Caenorhabditis elegans: one gene and its partner. The protein of the gene in region 1 purifies or fractionates together with the protein of each later gene. This does not show direct contact. Each region holds a gene or a part of one and is shown on either strand. Other genes may lie near its edges.

Evidence for each region. Proteins that work in one complex are often made in the same cells at the same time.
Region 2: the proteins of rps-19 (region 1) and icd-1 purify together in Caenorhabditis elegans (affinity purification with mass spectrometry; 2 studies listed by BioGRID, with this or other methods). This does not show direct contact.

What each region holds. Positions count from the first base shown.
Region 1 is NC_003279.8:9,622,414-9,629,821, reverse strand, and holds rps-19 (Small ribosomal subunit protein eS19), read left to right. Parts: upstream 1-4,025; 5' UTR 4,026-4,030; coding exon 4,031-4,241; intron 4,242-4,284; coding exon 4,285-4,454; intron 4,455-4,655; coding exon 4,656-4,715; 3' UTR 4,716-4,754; downstream 4,755-7,408. Other genes in the region: Protein hsr-9, read right to left, coding at 1-187, 234-1,273, 1,322-1,430, 1,478-2,683, 2,732-3,160, 3,205-3,271, 3,319-3,355, 3,523-3,547; T05F1.2 (F-box associated domain-containing protein), read right to left, coding at 5,216-5,412, 5,458-5,744, 5,791-6,053, 6,107-6,569, 6,615-7,066, 7,123-7,200.
Region 2 is NC_003280.10:6,585,220-6,590,315, reverse strand, and holds icd-1 (Transcription factor BTF3 homolog), read left to right. Parts: upstream 1-1,660; 5' UTR 1,661-1,675; coding exon 1,676-1,750; intron 1,751-1,794; coding exon 1,795-1,908; intron 1,909-1,954; coding exon 1,955-2,063; intron 2,064-2,112; coding exon 2,113-2,241; intron 2,242-2,290; coding exon 2,291-2,349; 3' UTR 2,350-2,739; downstream 2,740-5,096. Other genes in the region: vps-32.1 (Charged multivesicular body protein 4b), read right to left, coding at 58-186, 468-605; C56C10.7 (putative trafficking protein particle complex subunit 13 homolog), read left to right, coding at 2,838-2,889, 2,935-3,103, 3,151-3,235, 3,709-3,833, 3,934-4,051, 4,146-4,154, 4,204-4,319, 4,705-4,897 and 1 more.

The sequences.
Region 1 (7,408 bases):
TTGAAGCACCTGCAGGAAGAACATAGTCCGTATAGTCGACACATTTCCCCTGTTCACCACATGCTTGTAACCATGTATTGTTAACACAAGGAACACCACGAGCTAAAGCTGCCAAGTACTTGTGAGTACGATAGTACGTATCAGAAATCAGCAATGGTTCGTAGTTGGAGTAACGCTCTTGGAAGCTCTTAAAATAAAATGATTAGAATGTTATTTGTAAGACGTTATCTTACATTAAGCTGCTCCGTGACGATCCCACCATTCTGAGTAATGAAGTTCATCAGATTCTTCTTTTTGAACATTGAAGGAACACTCGCAGAATTTGAACGATTGGCCGAAGTTAGCATGAAGACCTTTCCGGTGAAAATGTTCTTTCCAATAGCTTCCTCGTTCATTGGCAAAAGCTTTTCTTCTTCTTCAGCCGGACTTGCTGATCCTCCTCTAGAGGAAACTAGATCAACTCCCTTCTTCTTACGACCTTTTGGTTTTGCTTGATTAGAAACTGTAGTTGGCTTACGAGCACGAGTAGCCTCCGATATTGTAGTAATATTAGACGTAACAATAGCCGTAGCACTTTGATCTTTGCTTTTAACATAGTCTCGCCATTCTGAATGATCGAAAGAAACATCATACCAATCAACAACCTTCACTTCGTCAGTTGGTTCCCCATCTTCATCCATGATCGATATGGTTAATTTTCCTTTTTTCCATTCCGCAGCACTAATATCGTTAGGACCAGAATCCAATCGAACATCGGATTCGTTGTAGACTGCAGTTTTGCCAGGGGATAAAGCGCGAAGTGGAATGATTCCAGAATTTGGAACATCTTTAATGACGTTATCAACCGTGAATTGTACCTTGTATCTTCCGAGACCATCACGCTCCGAAAGAACGACAGCGGGATAAAACATCTTCTGAAACACAGCGTAGACTCGAGCTCCAGGAGCATGAGGTTCATTATCGTCTTGTGGATGATCAACTAGTAGTTGATCCTCATCAGATAGATTTTTAAGAGGAATAACTGGTTCTTTTTTCGCCGGAGGTGTTTTGATGTCAGAAGCTTCACTTTTTCTCTTTCTTCCACGATTTGACGAAGCTGGGGTAGCAGTTGCAGGCGCATCTTCCATTTCAATATCATTTTCGTGATGTTCTTCCTCCTTTTTAGCTCTTGATCTTCTTCCCGAAGTTCCTACAGACGATACTCTATGCTTCATCTTATCTTTACCAGGAGTCATATCAGCAAGAGAACGCCGATTCTTAGCAGCAGGAGAAGCTGAAAGCATAGATATTCTTAATTTCAAGAAACTACAAAACAACTTACATTGTAACTCAGCAATTCTAGACTCTGCCGCCTTCTCTGTCATAGAATACTTTGACTCTGAATTACCCAATTTGGCATACTTGACAGCACCAAAATTGTGCACTTCCATCTGAAAACAAGCAAAATTACAGATAAACATTAATTTTTAATTCTCACGTGAATATTCTTCAAAGGTTCTGGATGATGCTCCATTTCAGTATCAAGATCATATGGATCATATTCTGCACTTTTCTTGCTCGATGAAGGCGCACTTTTAGCTGCTCCACGACCTTTCTTTTGTGGTAGAGTTTCTTCAATAGTCTCATCAGCTTCTTCGATAGGGTCTTCTGTGATAGAACCTTGCTTCTTTCTTCCACGAACTGTCGTTCGTTTATTTGTCACAGCCGGCGTCACCGGAGCAGATTTTGCAGGAGGCTTAGCCCTTGTAGATCTACGAGATGATGTTGGAGTTTCGACTTTCTCAGCTTCTACACTTTCCATAGTTTCAGCATCAGCATTAGAACGCCTTCCTCGCGGAGTTCGGGTGGACTTCGCTTGGTTTGTATCGTGAGTTTTTGTAGGGTCTTCGGTTTCTTTTTCTTGCAAGTTTTCCTCATTTGCTTGCGACTTTCTTCCTCTTCCTCTTGTGGACCGCGGTGTTGGCACTGCAGACGAAGTTGCTGAAGAAGATGCAGCTGAACGTCTTCCACGCCCCTGTTTCGGAGTTTCTTCTTCAGTTGGATGTTCCGTGTTTTCAACTTCCTCGGTGACAGATGTGTCTTCTGTTGCAACAGAGCGTCTTGATCTTCCCTTGCGCGGTGATGTTTCTTCAACGCCAGAGTCGCCAACAACATTCTCCGTAGGATCAATTACTTCATCTCTGTCTCCACCCCTGGAAGATCGACCACGCCTGGGGGTGCTGTTACTAACAATGGGCGTTTTCGTTTCATCTGCATTCACTTCCGATTTTTGCCCACGACCACCACGGCGTGGAGTGTTTGACGAAGGAGTAGACGAAACAGTTGCTGAAACTCTTTTAGCGCGACGAGTGCTGCGGCTAGAAGATTGAGATTCTTGGTTCTCTTCATTTGCTTCTGATTCTCCATCTGGCGATTTTGAATCGAGACCAATTTTTTGAGAATCATCAACACTGTCTTGTGAAATCTCACCAACGCCTGGTTCAGACGCCTTGTCATCATTAACATTCTCAATAGGTTCACCACTATCTGCTTGCTCTTTCACTGGACTTTCTACTTCAACCTCATTTTCGGGTTCCTCTGTATCGTCCTCATTCTCTGGTTCTTCTTTCTCGTCGCTCACACTACCTCCTTTTGGAGAATCATCTTCATGCAGATCGTCGTCATCTGACGTTGACACTGCCTTCTTCAATATTAATTGATTAAAATTAGGTTTTTCGAATTATCAACAAACCTTAGTTTTCTTTTTTGGAGCTTCGTCTTCGTCGTCTTCTTGCACATCATCAATATCTTCTTCATCTTCATCTCCAACCACCTTTTCTTCATTTTCTTCAGGTTTCTCGGTATCATTTGAAACAGAAATCGATTCAGCAATGTCTAATTTATCGTCACTAGTATCCATCGAGATAATTTTTTTCTCGAAAGTTTCTCCCTCTCCTTCTTCAATTGGTGATTCAGACTTTTCCGAGTCGTTCATGCTTTCTCCAGATTTAGCATCCTTACCGGCTGAACATTGTGGCTCATCTTCTGCCTTTTCTTTATCAAGTGCAGTAACATCGGCAGCTACATCTGGCTCGTCTTCCGCTTCTATGATAACTGATGACTTGGTAATGACACTCGAATCGACTATGTGCCCATCAGGAGTTGAATCTCTAGCTGGGGTCTAAGTAAGCAAATTTTAGATTAATACAAACACACTGGACTTACAGAAATCACAGCAGAGTTCCCAAAAAGACTCCTACTTTTATCCAGAACTGAAGTTGTTGTGGGGAGGCTGAAATAGTGGGATAAATATGTATGGATACTCGAAAAGCAGGTAACCTTGTCTGTGTGACGGTGGAGTCGTCTTCTTCGAATTCTGAAAACAGAAAATAAAAGGAAAACTTCACGTAAGTTAAGTTTAATTTTTAGAGTCGATATTCACTTCGAGTGACCACCTTAATTTCAATAAGGTTGAATTTTATATGCTTGACCCGCAAAAATATTAATTAACCTTTCACATTCTTATTATATCGAAAAAATTACCCATAGTGTTCGAAGACGATGCCATTTTCCTCCAAGCAGTTCAGTTCTTCAAGTCTATGCTGTAACATATGTGTTTAATTTTGCCATTTTAAGCGTAAAAGTGTCTGCGAAACAAAAAGTTACGACGTCAAAAAAAATCGTTTGAAAATTCAATTCAAACGCCCGCCCCCGCTGTTCAAAAAATGTACTGAGTGTCGCCCGGTGCGTTGCGGTCGCGTGCCGAGTCGCTACGCAGCCAATTGGTATGCAGGTTATGTCTTACGATCAGCGGTGAAGAATTTTTTCGTTTCTTTTCCTACAGGTTTTTTCAATTTTTTGACGCGATTTTCACGGTTTTTCGAGTTTCTATGTATTGATTGGGAGGAAATATGTTACGTTTACAGTTTTCTTAAATAATATCCACTTTCTGAAGCGCTTGTTGTTAAGAATAGTTTTTTTGGCAGTGGGTTTTCTTTCCGTCTTCTAATATACGATTTTTTCAAAGCTATACTTTTCCTTTTCAGGTAAAATGACGAGAGCGACCTCCATCAAGGACGTCGACCAGCACGAGGCTACCAAGTCCATCGCTCACTTCTTGAAGAAGAGTGGAAAGGTTAAGGTTCCAGAGTGGTCCGATCTTGTTAAGCTCGGAGTCAACAAGGAGCTTGCCCCAGTCGATCCAGATTGGTTCTACACCCGTGCTGCCAGTCTTGCTCGTCACTTGTATTTCCGCCCCGCCGGTAACTTTTTATTGACAAAATCATTACTTATTTTTCTATTTAGGAATCGGAGCCTTCAAGAAGGTCTACGGAGGAAACAAGAGACGTGGTGTTGCACCAAACCATTTCCAAACCTCAGCTGGAAACTGCCTCAGAAAGGCTGTTCAGCAACTCGAGAAGATCAAGTGGGTTGAGAAGCACCCAGACGGCAAAGGAAGAATTCTCTCCAAGCAGGTGAGTATTCTATTTTATTATCTAAAAATATAAAATTCGAACTTTTTTGTAAAAATAAATTATTAAAAATTATTCATAAATATATGCGCTGAAAATTAAACATGCAAAATTAGATGTTTATATTAAAATTAAATTTCTGCATGTTTTCTTTTTTGAATTTTCTCGAAATTTTCAACATCGTACTAAAACTAAATTTTGCAGGGACGCAAGGATCTTGACAGAATCGCCACCAGCCTCAGATCCTCTGGACAACAAGCCTAAACACTCGTTGTTTGTGTTATAAATGTTGTTGTTATAAAAAACTTCATGATACATCTCCATTAACAAGAAAGTAAGATGATGGCGCAAATTATGAATCAGAAAAAAAAGTTATTAAAGAAAAACTTCGCCCGAAACGTTTGAATATATACACCTGTATAGTTCTCACTTTTTTGAATAGTGAAATAATCAGTCTACAAAATATTATACGTCTTTAGTGGACCTTAGAACAAAGCTACAGAACTTGAATACAATCATTAATATATCTACTTGCTCTTCCGAAATCAAATTTGAAACATTATTAGCAGAAACTAACTTCCTATTCTGATACCCAAATTATTTCGCTAAACATCGCGAAAGGCATTTCTGATAAAGAAAATAAAATACAGGGTTAAGCTATTTATGGTTTCACAAACTTGCGATCAATTGGAAGTCGGAAAAATTTTAAAGATTAGTTATCATACAACGATAGATACAATTTTTAAATGAATGTTGGTGGACATTTATTTAGATGTAGAAAAGCGGAATCTAGCAAGTTCGCATGCGAACTTCTCGTTGTGAATTGCCGTGAACAAAATGTTCTTCTTATCTTGGGAAATCTGGAGCAATGCACACGCACCTCCGTGCCAAACAGTCCTACCCGGAGTAGATGATACCTCGCCATTCGATGAAGTTCCTGATACACCCGAACCAGATCGGTCTAAAAATTCAACTTTTAACTAGAAATAATTATCTAGAAATAAACCTCGAGATTGAGTCTCATCACTTGAGTTTTGTTTACTGTGCTGCCCTGAGGACATGTTTTTGGATTCGGCGTTCGTCGGAGTAACTCCTGCTTCTTCTATATTTGATTCCGATGGAGGAGTCGAAGGTCCGGAACCAGGAAGAGAGCTTCCATACCCAGACGAAAGAGATTCTTTTTGAAAACCACGTGTCGATTGCAGGCCATCGGGACGCAACACTTTCCACTCACGATATAGAACGTACGAAATATAGTTGTTCTTTTCAACAGCCTTCGTAAGCGGAGACGATCTGAATTAAGAATAATCAAAACTGCCACAAAGAACTGATTCCTCACAACTCAATATCGCTTGTCTTCGAATATTGGAGACCATTCAAAATCGGTTCGCTCTTTGATAACGGGCAATCGAGATTGATAGTGACACTCCGCAGACGGTGACCCATCTGTCCGTTTGACCACATTTGGAGAAATTCGAGAAGTTCCGAATTCGGAAGAATATAACGGTTTAAGTTGACCTCAGCCAACGAGCTCATTCTTGCCAAATCGGTAAGAGGGTTCTCAATAGTATTCTCAAAGATGATTCGTTTCGCCCAGAAGATCTGAAAATACGATGTTTTATTTAAATCGGCATAATATTTTAAAAATATCTTACCGGATAATTGCAATACGAAGTCTTCTCTACCCAATTCGGCATCTCACGTTCTTCGAATGGAATCACGTACGGCATAACTTCATGGTGCATGACTGCATTTCTTCTACTACGATACTCCTTTTCCTCAACAAAGTCTCCAGTATAGTTTCGCGCAATTGTTACTTCTGGAATAGTTCGCATTGTGTTAATTCTGTTCAGCCACCAATGTGTTGATCCAGGCGCATTGTGCACTATTCTGAGATTTCGGATGTGTCTGAACTTTTCGATAGAGAAGAGCTGAGACCAGTATTTGACATCAATGTCTAGTTTTTCGACAAAATTCGCGTCGTGAATGTTGATGAATTGGGAAAGATACTGAGCGGTTTCATGAATACATCCTTGATTTCCCAACTCCTCGTGGAACGGGTTTGTAGCTGTTGGGTATTGGACTGGCCAATCTTCAGGTACAACCTTCTTGATATAACTGCAATGCTTATTTTTCAGAAAGGGCAATTTTCATAGAATTTACCTTCTACAGAAATATCGTCCATCGTGTTGCTCAGAGAAGTCAAAATGCCAAAGCTGGTAGACCTTCACCTGTTTATGTTCTCCTTCTTTACCCTTCATGTCCCATGTCTTAACTCTGCCAATTTCAGCATTGTATTTGACATACGTTTTTGGTAGAAACTGTTCATTATTTTTCTTTCCTTTCTGCTTCTTGTCTTTGACATCAAGAACCAATTTTTTAGCACGATTATCATCATCGAATCTAGTTTTCGTAGTTGTTGCCCGTTCAGAGCCAATCTTCACAGAGACGAGGATTCTTTCCGCTTCGATCCATTTTTTGAACCAGTGCCACAATCCCTTCAATGTTTCTTTTTCGTTTTCGGAGAATTTTTCAAGATAATTGATTTTGTCAAGAATTGGCAAATCCCGCCACGGCTTGTATTCGTTCAATTTCTTAACTTGATCGGCAAGTTTCTGAAATAATGTTTATTTATGTGAAGTTGTTCAAAAATGCACAATTATTTACTTACAACGTTGGGATTCTTTGTACAGATAAACGTGAAGTCGTCAATGAACTTTTTCTTCGGAATACTCATCGGCGAACACATTTTTGAGATTTCTTTGTGAATATGGAACAGAGAAAAACAACATCTCGGCAAAAAAGCGAGGATAACATCAAAATAGGAAAACTGGCGCCAAGATCAATTTATAGTTGAACCCATTTTCGTTTCGAGACCTTTCTTCCATCATGCGTGTGCCTTTAACTGATACGGTACGGTATTTGTCAAATTCATCCTCAACCCAAGTGTTTTTTTT
Region 2 (5,096 bases), on another chromosome or scaffold:
CTGGAAAAAAACCGTGCTGTTCAATTAATTTTTATAATATTTCCCTTATATACCAACCTGATATCCGATAGTAGACAAAACTCCGTCAATATGGGCCAACTGCTTCTCGAAATTTCTCTTTCTATTCAAACACTGGAGAGCCATTCGCTTGTTTTTCGTTCCATACTTCACGGCATTTTGCTTTTCCTGAAAGTTTCTCAATTAAATGTCCGAAATTTGATGTTAATTTTAGAATATTATTTTTTGTTGGAAACTGGAATTATAAAACTATGATTCCAATTTCCCAAATGTATCCTATCAGAAAATCTTTTTTAACTTTTCTCGACTAAAATTTGATTTGACGTCAGTCAACAATCCAAATGCTGAGCAATGTTTTAATTACGTCACAAACAGATAGTTTACAAATTTAGATTTCAGCACAAACACTTATTAATGGTCCTGTTCTTAAAAATTATCTTCCAACCTACGTCGATAACTTTTTTCTCCAAGAATTCTTGTTTCTTCTCAAGCATCTCCTCTGTTTCCCGAAGTTTTTGAATAGATTCTTGTGGAGTAGACGGAGCTTCTTGCTTCCTGCCTCCGAAAATTTTGCCGAACAGGCTCATTTTCTGCAAAAAAAAAATAAATGAAAAAGCGAATATACAAAACGCTTAAAAGGAAGTGGTAGGACGTAGGAAAAAAGCACAAGTGGAGACGACAATCAATGGATGAATCATCACTTCAACCAAATAGGCGCGAAGCAAATACGTCATCATTTTTAGATAGTGTAATCGAGAAGAACAAAAAAGAGATCACATGATACATCAGTCAAAGAATGTATTGAAAAGTAAAATTGGGAACTTGTTTTACTAGCAATATAGCAATGGCCCGCCTTTGAGAGAATTGCTATGGAGATTTAATACAAACAAAACGACAATTGCCGGAGCGGCGATCGATTAACAGCGAGCTGGCGAAACACGGAGCACGTTAAGAAGGCATTGCTTCGAATGAAAGATTGCGATAAGTACGTTGCGGGAAAGGGTAGTGAATTGAAAAGAAAATTCAAAAGAAAATGAGGAAAGAAGGAGTTTCTAAACTAGAATTTCACAACTTAAATAAAGCCCAGAAACCCTTGTGATTCATGGTATGGCAGAACGAGACAGCGAGAAAATTGCGAAATAGCTTTGACATTTTAATGATGAAGCGAGATATAGAGAAATAGAGAAAGAAAGGAGTATGAGAAACGACGAGACAGAGAGGGTGAGAGGAAAACGACTGGCAGCAAGCCAGATTCTGCGTATGTGCCCCTTACCCCTATATCAAGAAATTTTAAAGCAAGGGGCACATACGCACGGAATGTTCGGGTCTCGCGAAAAAATTTTCTACCGTTTCGGTGATTTTTTCTGAATTTCATTGTTTTTGACTTCTTTCTATCTTTTTAGATTCTATTTCATTATTGTTTACACCATTTTCATAATTTTCTGTCGATCTCGTAGGTGTATTCGTTTCCGTGCCTGAATTTAGGCTAAAACTGATTCGATTGATAAACTTACATTTCCGTTTTTCGCGTTTGTCCGCATTTTCCCCGTCCCTTTGTTATTTTAGGAATAAATATTCTTAACTGGCTTTATCCTTTTTGTTCTCACGTTTTCACGTCTTTAATTATATTTTTCGTCTTCAGGTAATCCTTCCAAAAATGGATAGCAAGGCTATTGCGGAGAGAATCAAGAAGCTCCAAGCTCAACAGGAGCATGTCAGAATTGGAGGAAAGGTAAATATTTAAATTTATAATTTTATCTCTCCTATTTCTTTCAGGGAACTCCACGCAGAAAGAAGAAGGTCATCCACAAGACCGCTGCTGCCGATGACAAGAAGCTTCAAAGCAACTTGAAGAAACTCTCTGTCACCAACATTCCAGGAATCGAGGAGGTAAACTTTGATTTAAAGTATTAATTTAATTTCTGTAACTTTTCAGGTCAACATGATTAAGGACGATGGAACCGTTATCCACTTCAACAACCCAAAAGTCCAAACCTCTGTTCCAGCCAATACCTTCTCTGTCACAGGATCAGCCGATAACAAGCGTAAGTATTGCTCATTGGCTGAATGTTTTTAACCTTACATATTTTGCAGAGATCACTGAAATGCTCCCAGGAATCCTCAACCAACTCGGTCCAGAGTCCCTCACCCACCTCAAGAAACTTGCCAACAACGTTACCAAGCTCGGACCAGATGGAAAGGGAGAGGACGAAGATGTGCCAGGTTGGAAAATCATAAAAGATTTTTTTTAAATAACAGGTTCATTTTTCAGAACTTGTTGGAGACTTCGACGCCGCCTCAAAGAACGAGACGAAAGCCGATGAGCAATAAATCACTACCCTTTCATCGACCAATTCGCGAGTTTTGTGAGATGAACGGTACGGATAGCATCCGCATTAGTATATCCCATTTTTCTTGTTACTGTTGATCGATTTCAATGAATCTCTTTAAAAAAATACTTGCTCTGTCACCTTTTTTTCCGCCCCCATTAGTGTTCGTTGTTATACTTGTTTTGTATACAAATTTATTCCCGATCCTCAAATGGCTAATAAATGTTAGCTATGTATTTAAAGCAAGCTTTCTACGTTCCGATGATTTTGAATTCTTAGGGGTTCCGGGGATCCTTCTAGTAATATCTGTTCCTCGGTGTTTATTTTCCGTTATTTTGGGTAGTTTTCCACTGACTTCCATTTTGTTAAACTCAATAAAAGTTGCACAAATATTCCAGCTCGAAAGAATATTTTGTAAGGTTAGAAATTCCGAAAAGTTATACTGTGATTTCATCCCGGCGGAAAGCTAATTATTTATAAATCAGGACAATGGCTGACAATCCTGCAAGTTCTTCTTCACAACAGCTTCTTGCTCTGCGGGGTAATTTTAGTTCTCATCATTAATCAATCATAGCTTCGATTTTAGTTATGAGATTGGCTCGTCCAAAATTTGCTCCTGTCGATGGTTTCTCCCACGATCCCGTCGATCCTACAGGATTCGGTGAACTTCTCGCTGGAAAAGTTTCAGAAATATCGAAAGAATCTCGACAAGATCTTCCAATCGGCGAATATTTGATTGCACCACAAATGTTCGAGTGAGTCGATTGATCAAGGCGCTGTTTAAAAAACCGTTTCGTTTCAGAAATATCTATCTGGGAGAGACGTTTACTTTCTATGTAAATGTTGTAAACGAAAGCGAGAAGACTGTCTCTAGTGTGAGCCTAAAAGTAAGTAAATGGACTCATTTTTTAAGATAAAAAGTAAAAAAAAATTAAATTTCTTCGCTCACTGGAAATTCAAACTGGTTGCTGCGGAATTTATCGATTTTCATAGTTTTTTTATATTAAAACGAAAACTCAAATTAATGATAAAATAATTCAAATTTCACCAAATAGAGAAAAACGTTGAAAAATCGATACAAATTCCACAGCAACAAAATTTTGAAACCACAGTACTCCTGAAAGGCGCGCTCCCTTTTCGCAATTAACTAAAATTTGTCGTGTCGGGACCGGCCACTCTATTTTCGATACAAAATGCGCATCTGGGTAATATGAGCAAATTAATTTCACTCCAGATTTGCAGTTTCAGCTTTCTTAGTTGTGAAAAAGTGAATTTCCAAAATTCCAGGTATTTAACATGTAACAATTATCAATTTTCAAAGACCCCATCAATATTCCTTTTTAAAAAAGATTTGTTTCAGTGTGAGCTTCAAACATCAACTCAACGAGTTGTTCTTCCATGTTCCGTTCAAGACGCAACAATCGAATCTTCAAAATGTGAAGGACAGGTCATCAGTCACGAAGTGAAAGAAATCGGGCAACATATGTAAGTTTTCCTGTTTAATCTCTCTCTGGTTTTCCTCCATTTTCTCAAAATCTTCCCCCCGTTGCCATGACACCTTTGCATTAACTTTGTTCTTTTTTAGACTGATATGCTCGGTCAACTACAAAACATCGAACGGCGAGAACATGTATTTCCGGAAATTTTTCAAATTTCCAGTATCGAAACCGATTGATGTGAAAACAAAGTTTTACAGTGCCGAGGTGTGTGAGATTTTGTAATAAATATTAATTTTATTTGGTCAATTTTGCATGTTTCGTCCAACCGAGTGCTGTGTATAAATGTCGTTTTCTTTAGGACAATGCGGTGAGAACTTTAAAATATTTTATTTTTGTCTAAATTATGTTTCTTTCAGAATCAAGATGTCTACCTCGAAGCCCAAATTGAAAATACATCAAATGCGAATATGTTCCTGGAAAAAGTCGAGTTGGATCCAAGTCAACATTATAATGTTACTAGTATCGCTCATGAGTACGTACTACATATTACGGGAATACAAAATTCTGAGTATAATTATTGCGCAAAATATCTTTTAGCGAAAACTACAGTAACTTTTTAAATGTCTACTATAGCGCTTGTGTCGATTTCCGAAAATTTATTTATCGAACAAATATTGAAATTAAAGAAAATAATACGAAAAAACGAAGAAAAATGGATTATCGCTGTCACTATTCGAACAGAAATTCGTTTCGAAATCTAGCCCGTAAATCGACATGAGCGCTACAGTAGGCATCTAAAGAATTACTGTAGTTTTCGCTACGAGATATTTTGCGTGTCAAGTATGTTGCGCAATACGCATTTCAGAATTTTTAGGACCGTAATATATAGTATTTATATTTTTTAAAAATATTTATAGGGATGAATTTGGCGATGTTGGAAAACTTCTGAAACCAAAAGACATTCGTCAGTTTTTGTTCTGTCTAACACCAGCCGATGTTCATAACACACTTGGATATAAAGATTTGACAAGTATTGGAAAGTTGGATATGTCATGGAGAACGAGCATGGGAGAGAAGGGACGGCTCCAAACTAGTGCTCTTCAAAGAATTGTAAGTTTCACTTCTTTTGATAGAACATATTGAAACGAGTTTAGGCACCTGGATATGGAGATGTTCGACTTTCTGTCGAGAAGACGCCAGCATGCGTAGATGTTCAGAAACCTTTTGAAGTGTCTTGCAGACTTTACAATTGCTCGTAAGTCGATTATATTCTAACAGACGCGAAATTTTGTGATTTTTGACACAAAAA